5 linked regions of the Solanum lycopersicum genome follow. The protein of the gene in region 4 binds, or shares a complex with, the protein of the main gene of each other region. Links are inferred from orthologs where the notes say so. Each region holds a gene or a part of one and is shown on either strand. Other genes may lie near its edges.

The links.
Region 1: small ribosomal subunit protein bS6c alpha (region 4) and small ribosomal subunit protein cS23 share a complex: the UniProt entries of both Arabidopsis thaliana proteins name them as parts of the 30S ribosomal subunit. The link is inferred for Solanum lycopersicum from reciprocal best matches to the Arabidopsis thaliana genes AT1G64510 and PSRP3/1.
Region 2: small ribosomal subunit protein bS6c alpha (region 4) and 30S ribosomal protein S13 share a complex: the UniProt entries of both Arabidopsis thaliana proteins name them as parts of the 30S ribosomal subunit. The link is inferred for Solanum lycopersicum from reciprocal best matches to the Arabidopsis thaliana genes AT1G64510 and EMB3137.
Region 3: small ribosomal subunit protein bS6c alpha (region 4) and small ribosomal subunit protein bTHXc share a complex: the UniProt entries of both Arabidopsis thaliana proteins name them as parts of the 30S ribosomal subunit. The link is inferred for Solanum lycopersicum from reciprocal best matches to the Arabidopsis thaliana genes AT1G64510 and PSRP4.
Region 5: small ribosomal subunit protein bS6c alpha (region 4) and small ribosomal subunit protein cS23-like share a complex: the UniProt entries of both Arabidopsis thaliana proteins name them as parts of the 30S ribosomal subunit. The link is inferred for Solanum lycopersicum from reciprocal best matches to the Arabidopsis thaliana genes AT1G64510 and PSRP3/2.

What each region holds. Positions count from the first base shown.
Region 1 is NC_090804.1:4,043,275-4,046,750, reverse strand, and holds small ribosomal subunit protein cS23, read left to right. Parts: upstream 1-1,241; 5' UTR 1,242-1,328; coding exon 1,329-1,550; intron 1,551-2,577; coding exon 2,578-2,859; 3' UTR 2,860-2,976; downstream 2,977-3,476. Other genes in the region: homologous-pairing protein 2 homolog, read left to right, coding at 3,442-3,469. UniProt on the Arabidopsis thaliana protein: Component of the chloroplast ribosome (chloro-ribosome), a dedicated translation machinery responsible for the synthesis of chloroplast genome-encoded proteins, including proteins of the transcription and translation machinery and components of the photosynthetic apparatus.
Region 2 is NC_090804.1:939,403-943,071, reverse strand, and holds 30S ribosomal protein S13, read right to left. Parts: upstream 2,199-3,669; 5' UTR 2,120-2,198; coding exon 2,006-2,119; intron 1,619-2,005; coding exon 1,394-1,618; intron 780-1,393; coding exon 612-779; 3' UTR 502-611; downstream 1-501. UniProt on the Arabidopsis thaliana protein: Located at the top of the head of the 30S subunit, it contacts several helices of the 16S rRNA.
Region 3 is NC_090804.1:66,172,219-66,175,578, reverse strand, and holds small ribosomal subunit protein bTHXc, read right to left. Parts: upstream 2,222-3,360; 5' UTR 1,999-2,221; coding exon 1,821-1,998; intron 1,719-1,820; coding exon 1,654-1,718; intron 764-1,653; coding exon 641-763; 3' UTR 510-640; downstream 1-509.
Region 4 is NC_090807.1:67,612,544-67,616,773, forward strand, and holds small ribosomal subunit protein bS6c alpha, read right to left. Parts: upstream 2,807-4,230; 5' UTR 2,692-2,806; coding exon 2,341-2,691; intron 428-2,340; coding exon 188-427; 3' UTR 6-187; downstream 1-5. UniProt on the Arabidopsis thaliana protein: Binds together with bS18 to 16S ribosomal RNA.
Region 5 is NC_090802.1:7,166,538-7,170,533, reverse strand, and holds small ribosomal subunit protein cS23-like, read right to left. Parts: upstream 2,810-3,996; 5' UTR 2,703-2,809; coding exon 2,454-2,702; intron 862-2,453; coding exon 580-861; 3' UTR 374-579; downstream 1-373. UniProt on the Arabidopsis thaliana protein: Component of the chloroplast ribosome (chloro-ribosome), a dedicated translation machinery responsible for the synthesis of chloroplast genome-encoded proteins, including proteins of the transcription and translation machinery and components of the photosynthetic apparatus.

The sequences.
Region 1 (3,476 bases), on a different chromosome or scaffold from region 4:
GACTTGACAACACATCCTTATCACATAGTACCCTAGTACGAACCTTCATTTTATCCAGTCCATTTCAATTATGCAATGTACGATATCATCATCAATCTCCGTTCTTCCGGGATACGACACCTCTAGCCCAATATTAGCTCTTAGGAAAAATAAAACCAAGCGTCACATTGATCATAAAAATATACTTTTTTGTGTATGTAAAGGGCAAATTATAAGTATGAATTGAATTAGTGGTTTCTTCAAATTTGCAACTCATTTTGATCACTTCATAATTAATATGACTAATATTAATATTATTATTTTTTTATTATATGATTTTGTCAATATCATAAAATTCAGCTCAAGTAATGTTTTTTCTTCATAAACTTGAATGAGTAGTACGCATGGACATATATATCAAAAGTCGTCTCTTTTACTAATTATGTAGAAAATGACATTGAAAGAAAAATATTTATGATATATGAACTTCATTTTCAATTTTTTTTCAGATCTTATTAAAAAGATGGCTTTTTATTAATACCAATAAGAAAGAATGTAGCTCTAGGACATTCTTAATATGCCCCTCTTTTGTTAATATTAGAGATTTAATTTCACGAATAGTCAAAGAGGCATACATATATCACACTCATCCACATGTTCAAGGCGCAACATCTATCTCAAAAAATGATTTTCTAAAAATAATAATGATAGACGTGTTAAAAAAGTAATGTGAAGTCATTGTCGAGAGAGTTGCTGACTAATGACCTAAAAAAGTACGTAACATTTGAGAAGCACGAACAATCTTCACCCATGAGATACATTCTACTTTTTTTTGAATAATCAGATAATATTGATCAATTTGATTAGGGATGACAAAATTAATCTATAAAAATCTGATACTCATAAGTTTTGTCTACTAAGAATTGTAAACTTGATAAAAGTTGAACATATTAGACTACGACAAAATACTAACCCATCTTATCTCAAATTTATAATCTTCAAACAAATCGATACCACTCGTTTATCAACACAACTTTAACTCTCAAAAAATTGTTCAATCCGCTCGTTTGACATCCCGAATCAACTCAACGTTGCTAAATATACAAAATTAGTAAAGCTATGATAACTAATGATCATATTTCTTTTGGGCCCAAATCCCATAACATGACCAAAGTCCTCACCCATAGGCCTCTTAGCCCAATTTAAACAACTTTCATTTTTTTTCTTCTATTACCTTATCCATTCTATCATTATCTCAAATTCTCTATACACACTCTTTTTAAGGCCACAATTTTCCCACTTCACTTTTTTTCATCACTAGACAAATATTTTTTTTATCTACACAAAAAATGTTATCAATGTCTGTTCAATCTAGCTTGAAAGGCAATTTGAGTATCCCTTCTTTACCTTCACAAAATCCAGGTTATAAATCCTTCAAATCATGTTCTTCATTATCTTTTAACAACAAAGGTTTATCAACAAGAAGAATTCATAAGATTTTTGCTTCAGCAGTTGCAGAAGCAGAATCAGTTGAAGTTGAGACTTCAGAGTCTGTTGTTCAAGAAATTGAGGTAAAAAATCAGCTCTTTAATTTTCAATTAGGTAACTTTTTTCGATAACTTAGTGTCTAGATTAGTTTTTGCGCTACTCAATTAATTTCATGAATGGTAGTGTTACTTCTCACTAGTAAAATTGAGTAATCTTTGTCTGATTTTGACTTGATACGTAATTTAAGAATGTAAATACTCCCTCAATCCATCTTTACTTGGTCATTATATTAAAAATAGTCGTCTAACAATACTTGTCCAATTTGAAAAACATGAAAACCCTTGATATTGAATACTACTATTCAATATATAATACATTTTCCAAAGCATCAAATTTATATTCAAAGGATAATATAGTAATATTTTAGAATCATTTGATATATACGACAAATCTAGAATTTTTAAGTCTTTGAATTCACTTTTACTATGATTATTTAACACGTACTGTGTTGTTCGACTTTTCTAAATATGAAATGGTAGTCCAACAACTTCTTAATGAAAATGAGTAATAACTAGCAAATTTATGAATGTTTTAATTAATAAAAAAAAGGCATAATTGGGGAAATATATTGATCATTTAGCTAAAAACAGAACAAAAATGGAGTTAAATTATAGCATTACCTATAAATATAAGTTATGTTTCGACAAAAACTAGATATATCAATTCGTACCCTCGAGCCCTAAAATTTTAGTGATGATGAATTCAACCTCTAGATCAAACATTTGTGTCATATACTTGCACCCGTACCAAAACAACATAATGTATGTACATATTGACCCAAAAATAACAGATTCAGTTGAACACTTGAACACATTTAACTCATCCTAGCTAGATACGCCTATGACAAAATCCAATCTCTGACTTCCACCCGTGTCAAATACTCAAACTCGTATTGAAACGTCTACATTATTAAAGATGAAAATAAGAAGTTCAGTTGAATGCACATAATTCATTCCAGATACGTACGACTATATAAATAATAAGCCCAAAAAAGGATAGGATATTATGTTTTGATATCTTATAGTGAATTCTTGGATATATTTTTTTCAGAAAGTTGATATGAAGAAAAAGGTAATTGAGAAGCCAAGGCTAGTGCTAAAATTCATATGGATGGAGAAAAATATTGGACTTGGCCTTGATCAAGTTTTACCAGACCATGGAAGTGTACCATTAAGTCCATATTTTTTTTGGCCTAGAAAAGATGCATGGGAAGAGTTGAAAACAACACTAGAGAGTAAGCCATGGATATCACAAAAGCAAATGATTATTTTGCTTAATCAAGCTACTGATATTATCAATTTGTGGCAGCAGAGTGGTGGAAATTTGACCTAATTGTTGTTTTTGGTATTTATTTGTAGACAAATTGTTTCAACTTTCTGTTTTTGTTTTATCTTATTTTTAACTGTACTATAGTTGATGGAGAATACAATTGGAATCATTTTTGTTTCATTTTTTAAATTGTTTAATGTGTTCTGACTGGACGATAAGATAATCAAAATTTGTGAATAATTTAATAAGATAGGTGAAATGAAGATAGTATCAACAAGTTTTATACGCACAAAATTGAAACCATGGCCGATTTTGTTTTCTTTTAATTCAATATATTTTTTAGCGATTGTTCATCTTCCACCGCCCGTTATATTTGGACTTTATTATGAACTAAAAGCCCGTAAAGTCTCTCTAGTTGGGTTGGTTCATCCTAACAAGGCCCATGGGCTCTATGGCAACTCTCACTTGAAACTTGCGATGGAAGAATCCTCTTTTCGTAATTAGTGGCTATACTAAGGGTAAGTTCCCGCGATGTTCAACTACGACATCGTATAAAGGCCTTCGTGCCCAATGTTTCCTGTGAATTCGAAGTACAGAAATTTTGACAGAAGTTTTTTTTCCCGCGCTCTGTGAATTCTCCAATCCATGGCTCCTAAAGCAGATAACACTGAAGGTAACTT
Region 2 (3,669 bases), on a different chromosome or scaffold from region 4:
ATCTGAACATCATCACTATTGAAAAACAGAAGTCATGGTCTTCAAGAAACCTGAGAAAAGTGAACCTTCTTGAGTACTAAAGGGGTGGGACTTAACTTTCATGCTCATGCATGTGACAAAAAGGTGCCACAAACTCTATGCTTTTAGTTAATTCTCAAAATGACCTAACGAGTCATTACATTAACAATGCTATGACTCAAATTGTAAAACTTTGGTATCACATTAATGCAAATACTTGGCCCAAACACATTACTGAACTTGAAGCTTAAACCAAGGCTCATAGATAGGGACTGCACTTCATAGGTCGTTACATCAACAATTATTATGACACCTAACGTAACTTAACAAACCTTTCTCCTGTCAACCAAATCATCCAATCAGAATAACGTAAATTCGCAATTACTCCACATGAAACACATTTAACAAGATTTAAGGAAGAGATTATGCCTAAGCATCAACATTCTTCTTGAAAAGCTCTTATCTTGAAATGTAGAAAAATGATTTCAATGGAAAAAACTGTTTATAACAAACAAATGCACAGTTTGCCATAGGAATATAGAGTGTAACTTTTACAAGTTAGTTACCAAAAGAAATGAAAAATCGATCTTGATTTAACGAGGTGCCTTCTTCTTCCCTGCAATTGCTACTTTCTTGCCCTTCAAAGTACGGCAATTGTTCTTTGTTCGTTGTCCTCTGCAAGGCAATCCTTGGATGTGCCTTACTCCTCTATAGCACTGAATCTCCTTCAACCTCCTAATGGCAAGAGCATTGAATCTCCTCTGATGCCAACACCACAAGTATGTAATCAATTTTCCCGTTTCAAATAGGAAGCCGAAGCATCAATCAAACAAACAACCTTATACACAAGAATCTCAATCAACATTGCCAATTGCTAAACAAGCTATCGATTTCTTCTGAAATACATTTCCATAAGAACTGTTTAATTTGGGATAAGGCTGTGATGCATATAGAAGCCATGATCCTACATACCCACCTAACAATAACTCCCCTTGTTTCGATTTGTTTGTCCGGATTTGACTTGACACAAAGTTTAAGAAAGTAAAGAAGATTTTTCGATCTTCTGGTTTTAATCTCAAGATATGTAGAATGCAGTTTCAGCTCAAATATGGTTCTTTCCATGTAAAAGTTGGACCAAAGATTGGTTTAAGATATTGTTTTTTTGGTTCAATTCCTATCTTGAGACAAAATGAATTAAATTTCTTAGAACCCCAAATGGCATTAAGTTAAACTATAGAGCTAAAATAAACAGCAACCACAGCAAAGTTACATGAACTAGATATCGAAATCAAATTACCTAAGCATATAAGTTTCAATAAGGATATGCACATTGGAACGAAAACAAATGAGTACAAATTAGAGCAATGAAACTCACAAGGTCTCCTTCAATCATGTACTTAGAGACTTCTTCACGAAGAGTGATAAGTTCCTCTTCCGACATGTCTTTCATCACTTTGTTCTCCATTTGAAGGTCTACCAGAATCTGGCGTGCAGTGGTGCGGCCAATTCCATGAATGTATTGCAAAGAGAACTCAACTCTTTTGTTGTTTGGAACTTCCACTCCTCCCACACGCACACACTTTATAACCAAACCTGCAGTCTACACAAAACTCATTTCAGTTCAAACTCAAAATCATGGAAAATTTAGCAAAACCCAATTTAATTCCAACTCAAAAAAGTCCAAAAATATGAAAAATAAGCAAACCTCAATTCAATCCCACCTCAAAAAAACGGAAACTTTAGCAAAAAAAACTCATGTTGGGTTACTGAGAAAATTTCGAAAAATCCAAAAACTCATTCCAATTCCTACTCAGGTAAAAAAAAAAGTAATCTTTAGCAAAACCCATGTTTGGTTACTGAGAAAATTGCGAGAAAAAAAAAGACAAACCCCATTCCAATTCCTACACGAAAAAGGTCAAAAAATGTAAACTTCAGCAAACTCCATGTTTGATTACTGCAAATTTCAAGAGAAGGGAGTGAAGTGTACCTTTGGAAAAGATGTGGGAGTAGAAAAAGAGAGGGAACTGTGCTTGGAGATGGAAGATGTGTTGCAGATAAGGGAAAGAGAAGGAAGTACAGGAGTTGCTAGTGTTTGCGCCATTGTTGAAAATCTTGATTGATGAAGAAATTGAAGAAGGAAGAAGATAGAGCCTTTTGCTGGTCTATTTTTCTTATCCTATTGGGGAAAATTGGATAGGGAATGGAGTTCTTCTTTTCGACCTGGTTTGCTAATATGGAGCCCCGGTTGTTCTTTTTTTTTTTTTTTTAAATTTTATTTTATTAATATGGTATTCGGGCTAGTTTTCATGCACTCGACTAAATTCACCGATGTCTATCATACTGTCACCTCCCAATAAGGATGTGGAAAAATCGAATCGATCAATAAACCTATTAAAAAAATGTTATTGGGTTATTGAATTATTGAGTTAATGGATTTTTAACGGATCTATAAAGGGTTTTTGATTAGGTATCAATTTTTAGTATTTGGTTATTGGATGAATCGATAACTCATTAAGACGATAGTAATTTATTACTATGCACTTTATAAATATTATTAATAATTTAACATAACTAGACATTATATCAGTACTCTACACATTTTACACGTCACATTACTTCTATTTTACATCTGAAATTTCATATTATGTTTTGGTTGTAACATGTAATTGTAGCCTTCGTATTACATCTAATTGAAATGAAGAAAATATTAGCTTTACAAAGAAATCTCTACATTTCATTTCTGATATCGCTCTTTTTATCTAAGGCCTAACCTAAATTTGGGGCGATAGAAATGCGAGTTGAAAATAAATTTACATGATCACTTACCAATTGAATAAAAAGAAAATTGATCTTTTAAAATTTTGTAGGCATAAAAATAAAGATCTCTCATGGGCAACAATAAAAAATTCTTATAAACAACATAAGATTAGAAGTGGTTATAAAATAATAAAGCAAGAACAAGAAGAATATTTTAGAGAAAATTAGAGAGAACCTATTTTTAAAGTAAAGAATTTTATAAATTTTAATACTCCATTAATTTAGTAATTTTAATATTATAAGATTATAACTAATAAATTTCATGACTTACTAATCCTATAAATTACATCTTAATGGGTACTTCAAACGATTCTTATGAGTTGTGAGTAATTTACTTTATAAATTCCTAAAAATAAAACACCTTCCAATTGCAAAATCCTACGAATTTGCTAGCAATAACTAATAACTGTTTATGCGGCATTATAAATAGCAACTTAATTGCCACCCATTGAAAAAATTAAAATTTATCCATATTAGATGTTTATCGCAAATAAATAAATGCATAATATGTATATGTATTGAAACATACACAATAATTTTAATTTATGATTAATTAACATGTATTTCTACTTTATTAAATCATTAAATTTAATTTATTTTTAAATATAAATTGTGGCGTAATGATGAAATTGTGTCACCCTTAATCAGATGTTTCACGTTTAAAATCTTAGGTATGAGGAAAGTTTTGCTGGGAGTGCCACTCTTGAATGAGTCCACAATGCGCCGCGATCAGAATTTGTCGGGGCTCTAATTAATTGCAAGTTCAAGCCCTAGGTATCAAGAAAATTTTGTTAGGAACGTCACTCTTGAATAAGTCCGCAGTGCGTGATCCGA
Region 3 (3,360 bases), on a different chromosome or scaffold from region 4:
AGACAAACTTGGTGACCCAAACAAAAGAAGTTTTTTTGTGACTGGATTTGCTCACTCACATCTTGACTAATTCTTCGAGGTAAAGGTTACCTCCAACCAGCACAGATATGGAGTAATTCTATCCACGAAGGTCTAAATAAGAACCACCTAGGGGTCATTTGGTAGGATGTATTAGCTATGACATTTTTTGATCCTTTCTTTGTTCGAGGCCAAAGTGCCCTTGATAATATATCAAACCAAATAGTGGGTAGGAAATAGCTCCAACATAACTAATCCCAGCATTAGTAATACACTATATATTACTATTCTTATACACTCTACAAAAAGACCTCCTAATGTGTTTGTCTCCGCTAGTATATGAACCTAAAACCTCGTGGTTTTCAACCCATAAGGAATGTGGGGTTCTCTAAGCTTTTCACTTTTCTCAATAGCTAAAGTAGTGACTATTACCACTTGTCTACTGAAGGTTGCTAGAACCAAAATGCATAATTTAACAGGACACAAGAGCATTTAAACGAAGACCCTTCAAGCAAACTAGAAATCTCAGTCCAAATGATTAACTTAATCGATATTTCAATGAAATAAACAAAGTAGTAGAAGATTAGAGCTACATAAAAATGAAATTGCTCCTCCGAGAAAACTATGGGTCATGTATTTCAATTTTAACGACTTGGCCATCATCAAATGGATCTCTCTTTGGTGCTGCTGGTGGTGCTGCAACCCTAGGTGGTCCTCTTCCCTTCTTCTTGTTCCTTGGCCTTGCCTAAACCAATTCATACCATCGGAATCAGTTCAAAATAACAACAAAAAATGTCGAAACAACTGTTGTTTTTTCACTATTTCTGTCAAATCTAACGAACATAAATTGTTAAACGTATGATGATAACACTCTAAACTTCAAAGTACTAAAAATTGGTTAGAGCATATTTAACAGACTATTTTGAATCTATCATCAACATTGGTGGTTAACGAAGAGGGTCGAGAATCATGAGGTTTCAGGTTCAAATTCTATCAGAGACAAAATAACACTAGGTAATTTATCCCATCTATTGATAAAATTAGTCGAGATGCATCTAGGTTGCAATCAAAAATAAACTTCAAAACTTTTTAGGGGTCAATTCGTCTAAATGTATGAACAATTGAATCTCAGTATAAAATTCTATAATATTAAAAGCATTAAACTCCTGCATTAATTATGCAAAACCTTATGCACCAATAATCTTATTCCAAGTGAATCTATAAATCATTTTATATGGAATTAACATTCATTTAATCAAATATGAGTTAAAAAATTATTCATATTAAGTAATTTGTGTTGATATCTTATTTATCAATTTCAACAAAACACATACTTCTCTTTTCTAAAATTTAAAGGCATAAATACATTAAATATCTCATGGAATTATTTATTCATCTTCGATACACTCGTTATTTTAAGCCAATACCTTTAACTCAAATATGCAATAAATTTAATCTCAAATTCTATTTCGAGATTATTATTCTTATTCCACGTATCAAACTAGAATGTTAGTGTAGGATTCTCCTAATATAGAGGAGGTAAGTGTTTGTTTATAAAATATACAGGGGTGTATCTGAAACTAAATCATATTAAGGAGGTCTTATCCTGCAATAAACCAAAATATACAAACTCACATTGCCAAAGGAGTGATTGAACCGCTTGCCTTTCGCCGTCTTCTTATCACCTCTACCGCAGTAAACTGAAAATGAAATCAAATCAAAATTTCAATTTCTCGAACTGAAACTTCAATCATCACAAAATTTTCACAAACAATAAATTCGAAAAGGTATGTGATTCGTACCCAATGGGAGATTTGAATCAGTGAGAGACGAAAACGAAATTGATGGTGAAGGAGATGCCGCCGTAATTGAAACGCTGCCGGCGACGGAGTGAGAACGAGAGAATGATAAATTAGGAGAAAGAGAAGCCATGGATTGAACAGTACTCATAGGAACTGAACCAACTAACAACGACGCCATTGCAGCAGCTCAACTGATAGAATTGAGATTTTATTTGTGGTGGTTCTATAGCTTCTTATTCTGTTTCTAGATAATGTGCCCTTTGTCTTTTTTTTATTCAAATACCCCTGAATTAAGGTAAAATTCACTTATTTTTCCTTGTTTTTTTTTTTTAAAAAAAAAAACGTTAAGAGTTACTTGGATGGTAAATACCATTCATTTTAAACTTTAAAATTGTGAATTCAAGTTATCAGAAGATCAATTATTTTTTATGTAAAAGTATATCAAGCAATAAACTGAGACCTGAAAAGGATTGTTTGGAACGAGAAATAAGGAATAATAGTGTTATCTCAAACTCTATCTGTTCCTATTTAGTTGTCCATTTTAGAAATGACAAACATATTAATATAGCAATAATTAGAATAGTGAAGTTACAATTTTGCCCTTATTAATTATGATTTCGAAAAAGATGAATTAAAACTTAAAAATTTTCAGGAAGCTTAAATAAGAATATAATAAGAAAAAAAATTATCTTTTTTTATGTGTGAAAATAGACAAATAAATTGCAAAATGAGACGGAGGGAGTATAAATATAGTTAGATTTCATCACATACATAAAGAAATTTTAACATATATAATAATTAAGAGAAGTAATGAGATAATAGTACACCTCTATGACAGACTACTTGTCTACATTAACAAAGATATTTATTCAAAATTACTTGTCAAATTAAAAAATTAATTCTATTTTTTTCCATTTTGCACCTTAAATCGACTCTTTTTGATTAAAAATATAAATATTGTAAAGTTCCTCTTTTGTTATTAACAGATAAAGACACAAAAAATAGAATTTATGAAAAATAATTATAACAGTAAATTAGTAAAAAAATAAATATTTTTAATATTTCTTAAAAGACAAGAAAAAAGAAAAAAATGTACGTTGATATACAATGTAGGAAGTAACACAATGATTAATCATACAAGACATTCCCAATTGATTATAATTTTTTTTTTACCAAACTCACTCAAAAATACAAAAATATATTAATAACAAGTCAGTCAAAAGATGAAATACCCTACTCTACAAAAATTTGAGAACTCAATTCACTTATTATCGACCACAAAATTGACCTCGAACTATGACAGTACAGATTCATATAGTCGACCTCAACTTGTTTGGTACTGAACCGTAGATGTTGTTGTTGGTGGTGGTGAACAGCTCCCATGCAAATCACTCTACTCAATCTAGACACAGAAAATCAAGAACAAATAATATAGCCATTTCCCTACAGAAAAAAAACACAATAGATCGATCATTCACGTTAGTATTTATTCAAATATGTGATTTAAATCGACGTCTTGAGGAACTTCTTCTCCACTCTG
Region 4 (4,230 bases):
GATACTTGAGCAGAATGTAATGGCAACTTTCAGTAATATAAAAGAATGTTACAAATTGATACTGTTTTGCTGTGAAAAGGACTGTCATGACTTAAACATCTGAAAGGCGCGATGAGGAAAACTTGCCTGCTCTCTGTTATCGTCTTTTACAACTGAACAGATACACAAATTAAACTAACCAACCAAACTAGTATTTTCTTTTCCTAATCTTGAAAGTGGACGACCGGATAACATCATCATCAGCTACCAATGTTGCCTCAAGAGCTACAATGGATTCAGGTTTAGTAAAATAAGTGAACAGGAGGTAGATACCGTCCAAGTACGTATTTGTCTCTCCAGCTTTGTTTTTCCTCCTAATGCTGTATGCAAGTGGAATAACCCCTCGGTTGAAGACTTCCACATACATACCACCACCAGCAACCAGCAACTGCCCAAGAGAAAGAAAAACAAAAGATTATAACTTGCATCGTCAAATAGCATGTACAACTGAAATTGATCGGAGACAATATTAGTTAGAACTGTTCAATCCATAACAGAGTTACTATAAGTCTATTATGTACTTTTAGATGAGATGGTCAAGTATAATTTTAATATTTCCCTTCACGTGTGGACTTGTGTAAATCCTTTTTTGATAATGTGTGGCAATGAGAGCCTGATCCGATACCATGTTGAAGAGAGTTTCTTTGGTTGGTTAGACGGAGTATCTGACAAAGAGAAACACAAAACATGGGAAACATTGGCACTTACAAGTGTGTCTATTTGATTGACCTGTTAGGCAAAAGCTGAAACGCAGTAAATGTTGGAACAAACATAGAACAAAGACACGTGTGCTGATGCTTAACTTTTTTCTCTCTTCAAGCTTATCAGGGATTTAACTAAGTGAAAGTTTCCCCAATCATTTGTAGGTGAAAGATGACAGATAGTTTAATCAACTTTAAGTCCTTTCATACTCAGTGCAATCCCACATGCGGGATATGGGGATGTTGGTGGGTACGCAGCCTTGCCCCTACCTAGTAAAGGTATAGAGCTATTCCAAATAGACCCTCGGCTCAAGTGAAACAAAACAACAATCAGTAAGAAACGGAAATACAGTAGTAAACGGGTCATGTAGAAAATAGAGTTTCATCAACTTTAAGTACTTCTATTATTGTCCTCCGCAGCTTTGCAAGCCTATTTTTCTTATAGACGTCGACTATAACATCAAAAATGAGATGGGCAAACAAAAATACAATGATCATCCATGTTCACAAAGAAGAATGATAAGGTGATAATAGTCATCAGACCAAGGCTTTTGGACTCGAAAAGCAGATAGAGAAAAAGAACAAGATTAAAAATGAAAGCTCTTACATGGGAACAAGAAGAATGAAAATTGTAGCAGAAGCTGAGACTAACTTTCTTCTTACTTAGATCATGTCCATGTCAGCTTAAATTATAACAAAATGTTGAATTATGCACCCAAACACTGTTGACTGTTGTTAGGTTCAAATATCTGATTTTTCCAAAGAATGGCCTTCTAGTGAGTAGACAAAAAAACAAAAAGGAAGAATATTCTTGGACAATCTTGTGCTTAAATAAATTGCAAGGTCGATATTGCTTTTGCTTTCAGGTTTCCGCCTCTTAGCAGACAAAGAAAGAAAAAAAACAGTTTTTTTAGCCAAGAGAGGGGAATGGAAGAAATTCTCATCATGTCAAACCAAATATCAATCACTTGTTCTGTTTCCTAAATGATCTCCCTGTTTCAAATGAGTATAATTATCTTCATTTCCCAGTTCACAATGAAATCAGCTGAAGAGTATCAAATGATACTATATGCAGCTCAACTTCTGATAAAAATACTTACTCCTTCAGTCCTAATGTGTGGCAACCTTCACTTCTCATTCATGAACTATGACAAACATATTAAAAATTTATTCTTTGCCTTCAGCATAGATACTAAGAAAATTACAATAACAACAACAAAAAAACAGTGAAACATCACAAGAGGGGTCTGTGGGTAGAGTATACGCAGACCATACACCTATATATTGGAGGTAAAGAGGCTGTTTCCGGAGAACACTCGGGATACTAAGAGAATTATAATACTTTCTCATACAAAAGGAATTAGTCTAGTTCAATTTATCTCCAAAAGTCAATCAAATTGACCCTAAATAAGCAAAATGCGCCAAACAAAATGGAAAGAAACAGTATATTAGTTTCAAAAATTCAATCTTTAGAACTCTCAACTTCAACTCTAATGCTCAAACAGTCAAATCAGCAATTGAAAACTTAGAATCCACCCAAATTGAGCTTAGCACCTTGCAAGTTATATCAGTTTCCAAAAACAAAAACAATCATTGTTACCTCTTCGTATTTCTGGGTAAGAGCAAGTCTTTCATCTTCAGACATATCAGGTCTCAATACCACCATTGTTTCATAAGGGCGTAACCCAGGTGGACACTGCGGTTCCTCTTTATCTTCAACTGCAGAAATACCCGACCATGGTGTAGTCGGTGGTTCATCAGCATTTCCTCCTCCAAATCCACCCTCGAAAAACGAGCCCGAAAATTCTAGAGTTTGGGCTTTCAAGATTTGCCCAGAATTGTTGACCCTTTTGGTGAAACCTTTGAAGTTGAAGGGTATTGAAGGTTTAGAAGAAGAGAGAGTGGAGGTAAGAGATGGAAGTACTGATGGAGAAGAAGAAGAAGACGCCATTCTTGAGGGAGATAAAGTGGATAAGAAAGAGGAAATTCACAATTTTCAGTTCTGAGTTGGTAAAATTGTACAAGTGAAATTTATTGCTTTTTTTTTGTTTAGATACCCTCAAGACTTGTAAATGCTACTTTACTCCTTTCTTTTTATTTTTTTCTTGCAAAATTTAAGTCATGGATTAAATTTGATTTATTTTTAATTAATTGAAAGTGATGGTTAATTGTTCTATCACTTAATTTTCATATAATATGAAATTGTATTGGTATTTCATGTTTTACGGTAATATTCGTCTAAAAATACTTTAATCCTCTTTAAAAGAATTAATCAATTCAAGATTAAATGTGTTTAGTTCGATATTATAAGGATCAAAATCAAAATTAACCAAGTTAAAGTGACTATAAGAGGCCATATTTATTTATTTATTGGCAGTTTGTGTTCCCTCTTAACTATAGTATAAGGAGGTAGAAGTAAGCAAAGTTTTGAATAAATAATTTGGTGAAGATCTCCTAATGAACAAAGAATCTATTGTAATGTATTTAGCATAACAAAAACATAGCACTTTCTATATGTTAAATCAAATTGCATTGTTCGAGTTATGTTTGTTGAATCGAGAATTGTGATCTTGTACATGATTATGTTGTTGGCAATGTACTTGACGAATGACTAATTGAATATATCAATTGGATCTTCCATTTATGAAAATAGAAGATAAAAAGGATAATTGGAAGTTTGCAATAGAAGTGGAAGCAGGTGTATATATTAAGTATATATCCACAAAACAAAGATATTGGCTTATGAGTTATGACATGAGCCCAACACCCAAAACAGGGTAATAGTTTACTGGGTTAGAAGAATTTACATGAGCAGCAAGGTGTATCCTTCACAAGGCATGCATACACATCACCCTCCCCAAACCTGATGGGATCACACTGGGTATGCTGTTTTTTGTTGCTAGAAAGATCAAAATCCAGTCTCTTTTGACCCCTCATCACTCTCCTAGAAGCATTCAGTATTCAGAACTACTATCTATATCTATACTAGTAATAGGTCTTACATCAGTATCTACAAAAAACGGGTTCTTTCTCCTACACATGGTTAATAGGTAGAAGTAAAAGAGCGAAAAAACTGAGCAAGAGTAGCCAAGAGGCCATTATGATTCGAACTTGTCACACTGAAGATCAAATATTTAGCATTTCCGTCCACTTAGCTATTCTGTGAAGGGGGTATACAAGTTCTAGGCTGGCACATCTTTAACAAGCTTAGAAACTGGCAGTCGATATATGAAACTACATAACAAAGGTACAGGTTTTTCTAACAATGAAAGGTTAAAGTTAAAGACACGGGCTTTACTCATTATCATTACAATCTTAACTACAAGACTCCCTTTCATCACAAGAATTGGTTCACATTAAAACAACATCCTGATAAGCAAATGCTAAGCAGAGATGGACAGTATTCCACATGTACTCAAAAAACTGCAGAAAGTCAAAACTACTATGCATAGGTAGTTGAACTGATGACCTATTTTACAACAGTTGTTCA
Region 5 (3,996 bases), on a different chromosome or scaffold from region 4:
ATGTTATTGTCGTTGTTCAACCCCAAGCTATATGGTAAGAAATATAAATCACTAGCCTAATTCAACCCCAAAACTTAACTCATTAAAGGGATAGTCCAAGACCATATAAGGATACCAAATGACCCTATCCCAACCAATGAGGGACACTTTAACAATATATGATGGGGCCAACATCGAAAACGATGAATTGCGATGGGTCTGGATTAGATACCTTTGATGAGAAATGAATCTTGGACCTAGCAAATGGAGAAGGATTAGCCAAGACTATATAAAGAGACCAAATGAGCGTACTATCCCCACGACGTGCGATACTCAACATAGATAAATTCCTACCATCAGTACAATTTAATTTTGTTTCTGTTAGATGTTAATATTCATGAAGAACCAAGGCTAACATTTTAAGATATATAGTTTACAATATGATCCAAAAACTAAAGGAAACAAGAGGAAAATCTAAACAAACAAATTGAATAAGTTTTGACTGACCTTTCAAGTGAAAAAAGTTACAACATAACAGGCATGATTGCTAAAGATAAATGATGAACAGTGGCAGCATGACAAATCTTGTTCTATGAAGGCTTAGGCTAAATCACCACCACTCTGTTGCCACAAATTGATGATATCCGTGGCCTGATTAAGAAGAATAATTGCCTGTTTCTGGGATATCCATGGTTTACTCTCGAGCATGACTTTAAGTTCCTCCCAAGCATCTTTTCTAGGCCAAAAATAGTAGGGGCTCAACGGAATCGTGCCATGACCAGGAATTACCTGGTCTAGTGAAATTCCGATGTTCTTCTCCATCCAAATAAACTTCAACACTAGCCTAGGTTTCTCCAGTGGCTTGACCAACACACCGAGCTTCTGTACATCCAGCAGATTGTAAGAGCCAAACACCATAATGAAAATGGTGCAAATATTATGAAATTCTTAAAAAACTAAATAAAATGAGAATCAAACACCAAAATAAAGATATTGCAGACATAACTATGTAAATCAAAGCAGTTCGTCTCTAACCATTGAACTTATAAATGTCTTGAGACATTCACGCAGCATAGTATTAAAGTACACAGATGCATTGGTACGAAGAACCAGCCATCAATTTGGTCCAAGAAAGAAACAGAGCCGAGGAGACGTGTTGCATACATAACAAAATAAATAAAAACAATTTTTTTTAACAGGTTAAACAACTAAATGAGACATTCACCCAACATCGTATTAAAACGACAGATGCACTGGTTTGAACCGTCATCCATCAACTTGGTTCAAGAAAAAAGAATCGGAAAAGAAAACTAATCAAACCCGTGGAGATCTGTTGCAGCCTTTCAGACATAATAAAAATAAAGATAAAAGACCAATTTTGCTTTTTAAATTTTTGAAATAGGACAATTATGTCCTCCATTTCGTTTTATGAAACAAAAATGCCATCGCTGTTAGCCAAGTGGCTCAAAATTTCCCTACTCACTAACGGTTGTCCCACTCAGATGGAAAAGGGACAAAGTTATCCTCCAGTCCTTAAACAAAGTCAATATCACCCACAAAATTTTGGAACCAATGAGGCATCTGGTCATGTTTAACATTTTATATATCATCCCTAACGAAAACAAATTTATTTGCTTGGTCATTAATGAATATTGATTAGGTATTAAGAACTTGTTCTTGATAGCAAATCTTCACAAATTAATGCTATCTTTTACGAGAAAGACCTTTTTCCTGTCAACTGAAAAAAGATACTAATAACGTTCCCATAGTATAAAGTTAACTCGAATATCTACTTTACGCTAGTACGGAGAGATTGAATGTTATGATATAACTGAATACAAACTTACACTTTGATCAACTTAAAAGATGATAGCATAGTAAGAATGTGATTTATCAAGCCAGCTAATGGCAAAGGTATTTTTGTGCCAAAAACCGAAACGGACAACAAAGTAATCTTATTTCAAATAGTTCAAGAGAAAAATTGGCCCTTTTCCTATAAATAAATCTGCCCCATTATTCCTAAGCTTACAACTTTTCTTTTTTAAAATTAGTATTCCAATTTCCAGGCGATCCCCAAATCGGAAGAAACTACATATTATTCTTCATAGTGCCTCTGGTGGATTATTACATGGTCTTCCATTGTAATCTTTTTCATTCTAGTTCTATTGACAATTAAGACACACCCTTGGATGCAAAATCTTTTAACATTAAGAGGATGGTTCACTTCCCACAATTCAACAAAAAACTAAAGGATTATAACGGGCAGCGCGATGCACTAAGCTCCCTCTGGACCATGTACTGTCCACAGCCTGGTGCACTAAGCTCGCCCCCGAAAACAAGGGCCAGTTGTGCAGGTGTTGGTTGGTTAACAAACAGAAACCAAACAATGGATAGGAAATAATCGCAGCATTACTGATACTTATACACACTCTACCAAACAACACCTAAGAGGGAAGTCAGAGAGTGAAAATTACCTCTTTTTGAAGAGAATCTGAGGAAATAGAATCACGGGTCGATGTTTCTTCAGCAAAACTCAAGGCAGCCGCAGCTGAAGTAGCAAAACCCCCAAGATTTCTTCTGGGTACGATTGCTGAGACATTAGAACGTCGAGAAAAAGACTGCCCCTTTGTAAAGAAGACAAATTTGGGTGAAAAAAATTGGTTTTGAGAAGAAAACGCAGGAACCCAATTCACAGTAAGCTGTGTAGCCATTGATAACATCATTTTCAACAGCTAAGGGGAAACTCAGAGCTTCTCTGTCATTGTGTTGTGTTCTTCATCAAAGTCTAGATAAGAAAAAAAGATCCGACACAATATAACCCGACCCGGATTTTTTGGGGTTGGGTAAATCTATTTAAATGATAGCCTAATATCACGGATTTCGACTTTAAAAGTGACGGATCATGATACTAAACTTTATAAACTATCGAATATCCACCAAAAATTAACTTAGCAAACTTTAGTGTTGGGACTATACTTTAGGTTATTGTTTAATTATTTGGACTAATTTCAGGCTAATTTAGGCCGATATAATTGCAACAATAGCCTAAAATTTCTGAATTATATGTTATTTGTGGATTGGAGTACAATTTTTGGATAATTTTAGATAGGATATATTTCTAACAATGAGATTATATTGTAACAACAATGCTTACTCAAATGATTATTCTATGTCTGGACATTTTATTCAAAGAAAAAAATAAACTTGGTTCTCTATCCTTAAGATGATTGTGATACAATGGATGGTAAAAGGTTTAACGAAACCAGAAATTATAGTGATTCAGCGGCTAAGAAGGGACCTAGAATATTTACGACTCCACTTTTAAATACCCTTCACTCCCTTTAAAATGAAGTCTTTCTTTTTTGATAAAGTGATCAAAACTCGTAAAATAAATCAATATATCATAATATTATAATGTATATCAATATCATCTATGAATCGCAATAACATAAAATATGTTAGAATAATTAACTCGAATCGAATAAAGAGGAAAAAAAAGAAAAGAGGAGGCCAAATACAAAATGGTCAAAAAGTGTAGTTTTGGAGTAAACTAACCCAAAAGAAAACCGTGAAAGCCAGCGCGACTCTAACAAGCAGCCACACCAAACAGTCCTTTAAAACGGGTCAACCCGTGAAACACGTAAATCTTCAATAACCCTTTCTTTTTTGGCTTTAAATTCACTTCAATTTTTTTCATTTTTCCTTCTCATTCAATATCCTTCTAATTGGAGTTTCTTCTTCTTCGTTAGAGACATCAATCACCAGGTAAGTTGTCCAATTCAGTTTTCATGTTATTGATTGGTTCAGATTTAGAGATATACCATTAGATTCTGTTGCTGGTCTCTCTACTTCATAGAGACAATACACTTGTAGATAAAATGTTCAATAATCCTTTGAAGTCTTCCACTTTGTTTGAATAATTGTTATGTATTGTCACATAATGTATCGTATTCAATGGCAGAGCCACCTTATAGTTAGGTTCATCCCAACCTCGTTCGGCGGAAAATTATATTATTT